Linked DNA regions of Oryzias latipes. The protein of the gene in region 1 purifies or fractionates together with the protein of each later gene. This does not show direct contact. Links are inferred from orthologs where the notes say so. Each region holds a gene or a part of one and is shown on either strand. Other genes may lie near its edges.

Region 1 (4,374 bases):
CGTGAAGTGAATGTCCACGTCGCAGAAGAACATCAACACGTCGCCGCCCGTCCAAGCGTGAGCGCCGACGTCCAGACCTCGGCCTCTGGAGAACTCCTCTTCCAGCGGGACCAGCGTGTAATTGGAGAAGCTCTCCTCTCTGTGCCAGAACGCAAACGTCACGACCGACGCCAGGAAACGCTTCGCAGCTGGAAAAAGACCAACCTGGACATTTTCTCCAAAGATGACGTGACGTCCTGGAGGCCTTCCTGCCCAAAGTACACCACGGTGAGATGTACCCGCCTGTCCTGCTGCACACACACCTCCCTGAAAGACAGGCGGCGTCTCATCAGCACATCACCAGACCGCTGGCTGTGGGCGGGGCTCCGTCCTCACCTGAAGTTATGTAGGAACTGAGAGAACGTGTCGACTCTGCCCGCCAGCGGCACGATGATGTTGATGATGACTCCCGACGTCTCCACAGACGTGCTCCTGACCTTCATGATCGGGCCGAACGGCCTGAAGAGGGTCACGTGCCGGAAGCTGCTGGAGTCCTCTTTGGCGAAGAAGAGTTCGTAAAGCGTCCCTTTGTCTCGCTCCGTTCTGTAGAGTCCTGCCGGAGCAAACCAGCCAATCAGTAACAAGCCAGGAGAGAAGCCCCGCCCCCGTCTGACAGCTTTACCTTCAGTGAAGTGAGCGTCTGTGTAGGTCTGCCTCTGCATGGGGGCGTCGTCTTCCACCCCGTCCTCTTCGTCGGGGTTGTTGATGATGTCCAGCGCGGCCTCGATGACCTCCACCAGCTCGTCCCGCCGATCCTTGCGGACCGGCTTCTCCTCTGGGTGCCGCGTCAGCCCCATCTCCAGCTGGTACACCTTGGAGGAGCTGAAGCTCTCGAAGGGCACCAGAGCGTACTCGCTGGGCAGACGCGCCCCCACGTTGACCTCCGCCTTGTCGATCTGGGAGTGCAGGTACTCCAGCAGGTCCCCCGGCTCCTGGTCCTTATTCTCTCCGAGGGCCTGAACTCCCGGGGGCTCCTTCTTGTCCTGCAGAAGTTTTAATTTGTCGCTCATCTCCTGAAGCTCCTGCTTCAGCTGAGCGATCTGCCGTTTGAGGCTGGAGGCCCGGCTCAGGTGGCGCTCCTCCTGCTCCTGCAACAGAGCCTGGTAGTACTCCTTCCCATAGTTCCCTCCGTCCGGGCCGGGCAGAACCAGGCTCACGTCTGCAGGCGGCGTGCACTCCAGCATGTAGGCAAACAGCAGCAGCACCAGCAACAGCAGGAGGCCCAACAAGAGCCAGCGGACCCGGCCCTGAAACGGCAACCCGCGCCGGGCCATGGCGTCCTCATCAGACTAGAGCGGCCAGGACTTCATCCCCGTGTCCTCCGCTCACATCCTCCCAAGGCGCCTCCAGGAGAGACATGCAAATGCATGGAGGTCATCTTCAGCTGAAGATCATCTGTCCTTCCATGGGGGGCTCCTGTGAGAATCCAGGACGCAGACGAAACAGCCAATCAGACAAAGGAAGCAGGTCTGAAATCAGTGCTCCTGACTGAAAGATGAGAATGAAACAGAAGAACTGAAGCGTTTTGACAAACAACCGGATTCTAACAGAAATTCACACGAATTCAACGTCCAACCATTTTCAATTATTATTTTAGTGATCAAATAAACGACAGGAGTGATCAGCTCCACCTGCAGAGCTAGCGCCGCGGCTCACGAGCTGCTACGAGATGGTCATGCTAACTTCCGGTATACCTGTCTACCTTACAAAATAAGAGAAGACCGTTTTTTTATATGCTCTCATATTGAGAAACTCACTGTTATTACGGCTAAAAATTCACACGCCATTTTGGAAACAGGTGAACCTGAACTTAGTTACTGTTAGGATTACGCTTAAACCACCAAAGAACATTTCACGCACCTGGGCGCGTGACAGATAACGGGACTCAACTTCAAATACGTGCGAACAACAACATGAGCCTTCATGTAAAAACTCAGTTTGAACGAGAATGAACGAATAAATACGAACAAACGGAGCTTCATGGCAGAGAGGCTGATCGTAAAGTTTAACAGCTTTGGGAATAAAAATAAATCAAACGATGTCATCAGGAATCTAAACTAGTTTAAACAAAAATAAATTCAGCAAAGTGTTGAATAAATCACCACATCGAGAAACAAAACAAAGAGAAGTCTTTTAATGAAGTCTGTCTAAAGATTTATAACTTTCCCCTTTAGTGGTTTTGTGTTTAAAGGTCTCCCAGCTTCAGTTCTGGGCTCAGAAACCGTCACCGTCCTCTGAGCCACAGGCGCGTAAATCAACGTCAAAGGTTCGGTTCCGGTGAAACAGCCGATCCGGATCATCACCGTTAGTCTCGCTGATTTATTAGACAGAAAAATTAAACAACTAAACCGAAATCATGTTTGCACCACGTCAAGCTCTTTATTAAATTGTGCAGAGCAGCTATAGCTTTAAAGTTCAATAGGTTTTCAAATAGCTCACGGATTGAATAGCGTGACATTTGCTGAGCATAAAAATAATTATAATCACAATATTATCTCCAGTATATAGAAGGATAGTTCACTAAACACAAATTCCAGAGGGTTTATTTTCTTCTTTAAGTGAAAAATTAGCGATAAACCATCAGAAACCACAGCAGGAAGTGTGAAATTATTGTGAAAAACCGCGACCGGAAACACCGAACAATTCAAAGCTAGCTTAGCTATCTACGGAGATTTGCTATGTGTTTAGCATGTTTTGATAGTCAAAAACAGCATTTTTATGAACTAGAGTTGAATAAAAAATAAATGACTCACTTGGTTGTTTTATCTTTCATCTCTTCCTCGCCTTAAAGCCGCGTGTTTGCTGGGGAAGCAGCTGCTGCCTGTCCCGCTACAAAATGCCACGGAGCACAGAAAGAAGCTGGTCGGAGTCAATTTCCGGTCCTCAACTGGCCAATGGGTGCTTCGCTGACGCCTTACGTCATCAGACATGCTGAGGCTCACAACAAAAACATTCCTTTTTGCAAATGTTTTATCTTTATTACTATATAATTATTGCATTTTATGCTAATTTAATTTAGTTCATTTTTTTAACTGTTGGATGTTTTTGGTTTTAGTTGCATCTCGAGGATTCATTAAAATGCTAAGCACACTATAAATTAAAAATTATATATAAATGTACGTAATTACTTTACATTTTCCCATATTTCTGAAATATAAAATAAATCTAGATTTGAATGACTTACAGTCTAACTACAGTTAGACCGACTCTGAACTGGACCTTTAATGCTTCCAGATTTAATCACTAACAGAAATCATGTTAAATTACTGACTTTCAATAAGTAAAGCAGTAAATGTTTCCACAAACTTCCATGATCAGCCATCAGATGTGACTGGAACACACAGAACCTCATGGGAACTGCTGACCTCGGCTTCATCACAGAAGTTTCAGAAATGTAAGAATGTCATTTTTTATAAAATGTTGTATATTGTCAGAGTACAACATGGAACACAAAGTATCTGATGAAAAGCTCATAAATACAAATGTTTAAATCTTACTGCTCGAGTCCTTTTTCCTCTTTGTCACAACAACAAACATTTGTTTAAGCCTGAAGGAAATGAAAAAATTTTGTTTGTGGATTTAAAATATTTTTGAAACTTTAGAACACCTAATATCACAATGATAGTTCTAGTACAAACTTACTTTGAAGTAAGTCTAAAATCTTGATTTCACCAAATGTAATAAACATCAAAGAATTTGAATCAATTTTGTTCTATTTTTGAACCAAACTTTGAAGTTCTAGACTTGATTTTATCTGTTTTTTTCACAAACGTTTCTGCATGTGTCATAGTTTAGTGAGATGAGAAATAAAACACAGAGAGACTTTTTAACGAGCCGATGGTGCCACAGATATCTTTATGTAAACGTTGAAAGGACAAGGTTCAAATCTGAATGTTTATTAATAAGTGAAACACAATCAAAAAACAGAACAGCAGTGACAGAGTTTGGCTTACACAAGCATGACAGTGATTGGAAACTTGGACAAAGGAGCTGAAAACATCAAACTCACGGTCTCACATCCTTTAAACAGAGCAGCTTTATTAGATTAAAGTTTGAATGTAAAAAAAACAACAGCAAACATACACATAAATACCAGAGCAAAACTAAGAAGATAGTTCCTAAAACATGTTGGAGCTTCTTTTGTTTGGCAGCTTGGAAACATCTTGTTGGAGAAACATTGTGGACATTTCCAGGAACCCCTACAGTAGAACCTTTCCACGTTCAGAAGCAGTCCCGACTCAGTCGCAGCTGTCTACCGCCTGTGATGGTGCAGTGTCCCCGTTCAGTCCTGGACTGGAACTGGTCTTCGTGCTGCACTCTGACAGCAGGAGGTTT
Region 2 (4,221 bases), on another chromosome or scaffold:
CAAGGTAGTCTCTCTTTTTGTCTGTTGCATAATGTAACAACTGCTGGTTTTTGAATTATCGTGTAAAATCCTTGAGTCAATTCTTACTTTTTATGTTCTGTTTTAGAGCAGAGAGTTTACTGAGAAATTACAAGCTGCAGCAGCAGAAGGACCTGATCTTTCTCGAAGACATAGGTAGGGGAATCCAACAAAGACCTCTGGACTTACTGAACTTAGATACAGCTGGGCTATGAATTTATGAATGAATGAAATATTTATTGTGTTTATATCAAGTAAATAAAGTATCTTTTTTTTGTAATCTAACAATGAACTTTTATTCAATAAACAAGTTTTAAAGCCATTCTCAGCTCAAACCAAATTCTTGACAAAAGAAATCTGCCTGATTATTAAAAAGCGCTTTCAAGTCGTGTTAATCAGATCCCTGCTGTTTGATTTTAGATGCGGAGATTTTGTCTCCTGGGAAGAAGAAGGTCCACTTTGCTGGTGAAAACATAGAGAATGAGCAGCCAGAGGGTCGCCAGAGTGCAACGTCTCAGGACTTGATGAAATTGAGACTGCAGGCTGCAAAGCTACGCGCCCAAAAACTCAGCGAGATGGAGCAAATGTGCCAATTCAAGAGCAGGCAGATGCTCGGCATACGCTGAGCGCATCCTGATGTTCTTCATGACTGAATTACAACTGGATTTTATGTTTTTATTTAATAATTGTTTGGCATTTTAGTGAAGCTAATTTATCTTGTGTATTTCAAGTTTTGTTGTTGCTCTCTTTGTTGTCCAACTATATTTTAAATGATTTATAGATTGTGTAAATGTCAATGGCAGCTGTTGAAAGTGTTAAAATAGTGTGCACATTATTGCTGTTTTAACAACCCTTTCATTAAAAAAAAAGATTTTATGAACCACTGTTGAAAATTAATAAACAAAAATGTCACAAATGGGTTTTTTATTTATTATGAACAGACGAATTCAAAGAGTAAATAAATGATTTTAAATGTTGCTTTGAAGCAATCAACATAAACGAGTTAAAAGAGAAACAGTAAATCTCATAGTCCAATGACAATTTAACGTCTGCTCTCCACGAGAGGTCATCAGTTTCTAATAAAAACAAATGTGAGTCCATCCAAATGAAGGAGTAAGCCAGGGTAGTTGTAGTGAAGCGTGCCTGACCAAAAAAAAAAAAAAAGGAAATGAGTTGTCGCGGGATTTCAGTTGTGGACAGCGTGCGTAGCAACCCTGGTTGTCCTGCTAAGTCACGCCTCCTACTTGCGTGATTGGTGAAATAGACCAATCACATGGGTTCTAGTTTTCCACTCACCAATGGGAACGGTGATGGGCGGGTCTTGCCCTTCGTGTTCCGTGTGAAAACTTTGCCCGGCTCGGGTGCAAAGTTTCAACCGTCTGCAAACTGGAAATCGTCGGCAGATGAGTCTGGAATATCCTGGAAAAGAACACGGTGTATTCACACGGTTACCAGGTTTAGGGCTTTGTGGAAAAATGTTTGCGGTGTTCGTTGGGTGTAGATGAGTGATGGTGGCGGGTGGTAGATAAAAACAGACCGGGAAGACGCAGTAGCTCGGATTTTATTGTCTGTTTGGAGCAGTTAGCTTAAACGTAGGTTAGGGAGCTAGCTTACCGTCGTCCCGGTGTCTGTCGTACATCTTAGACATTTTCTAGACTAAAACTTGAATTAAAAATACTAGTAAATTTATAAAATGGCTTGCGAACCCAACCGAGCGCGCCTGCTCTGTATGCTTTCACTGACTTTTGGCTTCTTCCTGGTGGAGGTGGTGGTCAGTCGCATCACTTCGTCTCTGTCGATGCTGTCGGACTCCTTTCACATGTTGTCCGACGTGATCGCGCTGATCGTGGCTTTGGTGGCCGTGCGCTTCGCCGAGAAGACTCAGGCCACCAACAAGAACACCTTCGGCTGGATCCGGGCGGAGGTGATGGGGGCTCTGGTCAACGCCGTCTTCCTCACGGCGCTGTGCTTCACCATCGTGCTGGAGGCGGTGGAGCGTTTCACCGAACCCCATGAGATCGACAGCCCGATGGTGGTCGCCGGGGTCGGCGCGGCGGGGCTACTGATCAACCTGCTGGGACTCTGCTTGTTTCATGGGCACGCCGGGGGAGGCCACGGCCACTCGCACGGGGGACACTCTCACGGGGGTAAGGGCAAAAAGGGGAAACATGGCAAGTCCCAGAAGGCCGGGAACGGATCTGCTGGAGAAGAGACCAACTACCTGGTGGGGAATCACACCAGCAACACCAAACCAAGCATGGGTATGTATGGAAACGTGCATTATATTTGACATGGTGGCGTTAACTGAGCCTAATCTTACTGTAAACAGCTCAGATTCCACCTTAAATCATCAGCTTTTCAAACAACTGCCTGACTAATCTGTATTGTGTTCTTGTCAGCTTCAGTCTTGACATTTATTTGTTTTCAAATGCATATAATTTGTTGAGTCACTACATCCCTGAAAAGTGTTGCGACACAAGCAAGACGTTTCTTGCTTTGTGAGAAGTACTCCTTTACCAAAGCTATCAAAACAACCTGGGATTTGTAGCCTTTATTTTGTGTTCAAAAAAGACCCCCTTCAGTGATGCTGATGACAGCCTCGCCTTCATGTGTTTCTATGAACACATCTTTTCTGTGCATAAGGATTTCAAAATAAGATTATCTCCTCCCTTCTTCATTCAAAGAAGGGTTAAAATCAAGTAAAGAACACCCTCCTCTTTTGTTAAGCCCTGCCAGTTTCAATAAATGAACCTTCATTTCTTCCACCCCTGTACACCGATTGCTATTAGTGGGTCATACATCAGAGACTCTGGGACTCGACAGCCCCGGACACATCATTAGTCCCTGATGAACGACCTGGAGGTGCCCTGAGAGAAACGGCTTCCTAAGCTCTGCCTTTTTGTTACTAAATCTGAATTAGGAAGACTCAGATGCCACATGCGAAGTTTGCTTTCTGTGTTTCACTGGTTTGCGCATGGCCCCGAGCTCTTGTGCTAAAGAATCAGTCACAAGGTTGAGGAGCCCTCTGCAGAAAAGCTGCTTTTGTTCAAAAGGGAAAACATGTTGGTTGATGTGATTGAACATATCACAGTGGACTAACGCAGATGTTGCATAGAACAACAATCTTCTTTAAACTCGCTGCTGGTATCTTGAGGTCAAAGTCTATGTGATTATGTAGTGTGACACTACAGAAGTCTAAACCTTCTTCTACGGTTGTTTTCTGCAGAGGTCAGCTGTAAAGACAGCACAGAGGTGCAGATGAACGGCAACACCCACTTCGAGGAGATGGAATCCGAGGCCGATGCGTCGTCGCAGCTCAACATGCGCGGCGTCTTCCTGCACGTCCTGGGGGACGCCCTGGGCTCCGTCATCGTGGTGGTGAACTCTGTCATCTTCACTTTCGTGTGGAAGCCCTGCGAAGGTCCAAGCTGTACGAACCCGTGCATCAACAGCCACAAGACAGACCACCGCCACATCAACCACACTCTAGTGGATCTGCAGGACACGGACACAAAAGCCGGGCCCTGTTGGGTGCTCTACCTGGATCCCACGCTGTGCATCATCATGGTGGGCATATTGCTCTACACCACCTACCCTCTGCTCAAAGAGTCCGCTCTCATCCTGCTGCAGACCGTCCCCAAGCAGATCAACATGCACCGCCTCAACGAGCGCCTGCTCAGCCTGGACGGCGTCCTGGCCATCCACGACCTGCACATCTGGCAGCTGGCAGGAAGCAGAATCATTGCCACGGCGCACATCAAATGCCACGACCCCACGTCCTACATGGATGTGGCCAAACGCATCAAGGACTTCTTCCACGACGAGGGCATCCACGCCACCACCATCCAGCCTGAGTTCGTCACCTTTAACTCCGAAACTCAAGGCTCCCAGTGCGAGCTTTCCTGCCGGACTCAGTGCGCTCCTAAGCTGTGCTGCGGACAGAAGTCTGCCAGTGACTCTAAAGCAGCTGCTGCCTCTGGCCTAGAGGTGATCAGCGAGGCTTCGGAGCAGGTTCCCAGCATTCAGGGGGGCCCTCGGACTGAGGCGGAGGTTGCTGTCACCAGAGAGGTGGAGTCCTCTGTGTGAGTCCGGGATTTCACATAAAGAGAGGCAGCAGGAAAACTACCACTTTGTGCTTAAGCATTACTCTCATTTTTAGAGGGTTTAATCACCCTTTTTCCCTTAAAATGACTTTTACTTTTT

What was found.
Region 2: the proteins of csgalnact2 (region 1) and slc30a1 purify together in Homo sapiens (co-immunoprecipitation; 3 studies listed by BioGRID and IntAct, counting the BioPlex papers as one, with this or other methods). This does not show direct contact. The link is inferred for Oryzias latipes from reciprocal best matches to the Homo sapiens genes CSGALNACT2 and SLC30A1.

What each region holds. Positions count from the first base shown.
Region 1 is NC_019873.2:29,899,065-29,903,438, forward strand, and holds the start of csgalnact2 (chondroitin sulfate N-acetylgalactosaminyltransferase 2), read right to left. Parts: upstream 2,908-4,374; 5' UTR 2,793-2,907; intron 1,528-2,792; exon of another isoform or gene 1,456-1,527; 5' UTR 1,314-1,455; coding exon 662-1,313; intron 593-661; coding exon 376-592; intron 307-375; coding exon 205-306; intron 140-204; coding exon 1-139. UniProt on the Homo sapiens protein: Transfers 1,4-N-acetylgalactosamine (GalNAc) from UDP-GalNAc to the non-reducing end of glucuronic acid (GlcUA). Required for addition of the first GalNAc to the core tetrasaccharide linker and for elongation of chondroitin chains.
Region 2 is NC_019882.2:6,335,828-6,340,048, forward strand, and holds the start of slc30a1 (zinc transporter 1), read left to right. Parts: upstream 1-1,355; 5' UTR 1,356-1,711; coding exon 1,712-2,279; intron 2,280-3,244; coding exon 3,245-4,104; 3' UTR 4,105-4,221. Other genes in the region: serine/threonine-protein kinase Nek2, read left to right, coding at 1-4, 107-174, 439-644. UniProt on the Homo sapiens protein: Zinc ion:proton antiporter that could function at the plasma membrane mediating zinc efflux from cells against its electrochemical gradient protecting them from intracellular zinc accumulation and toxicity.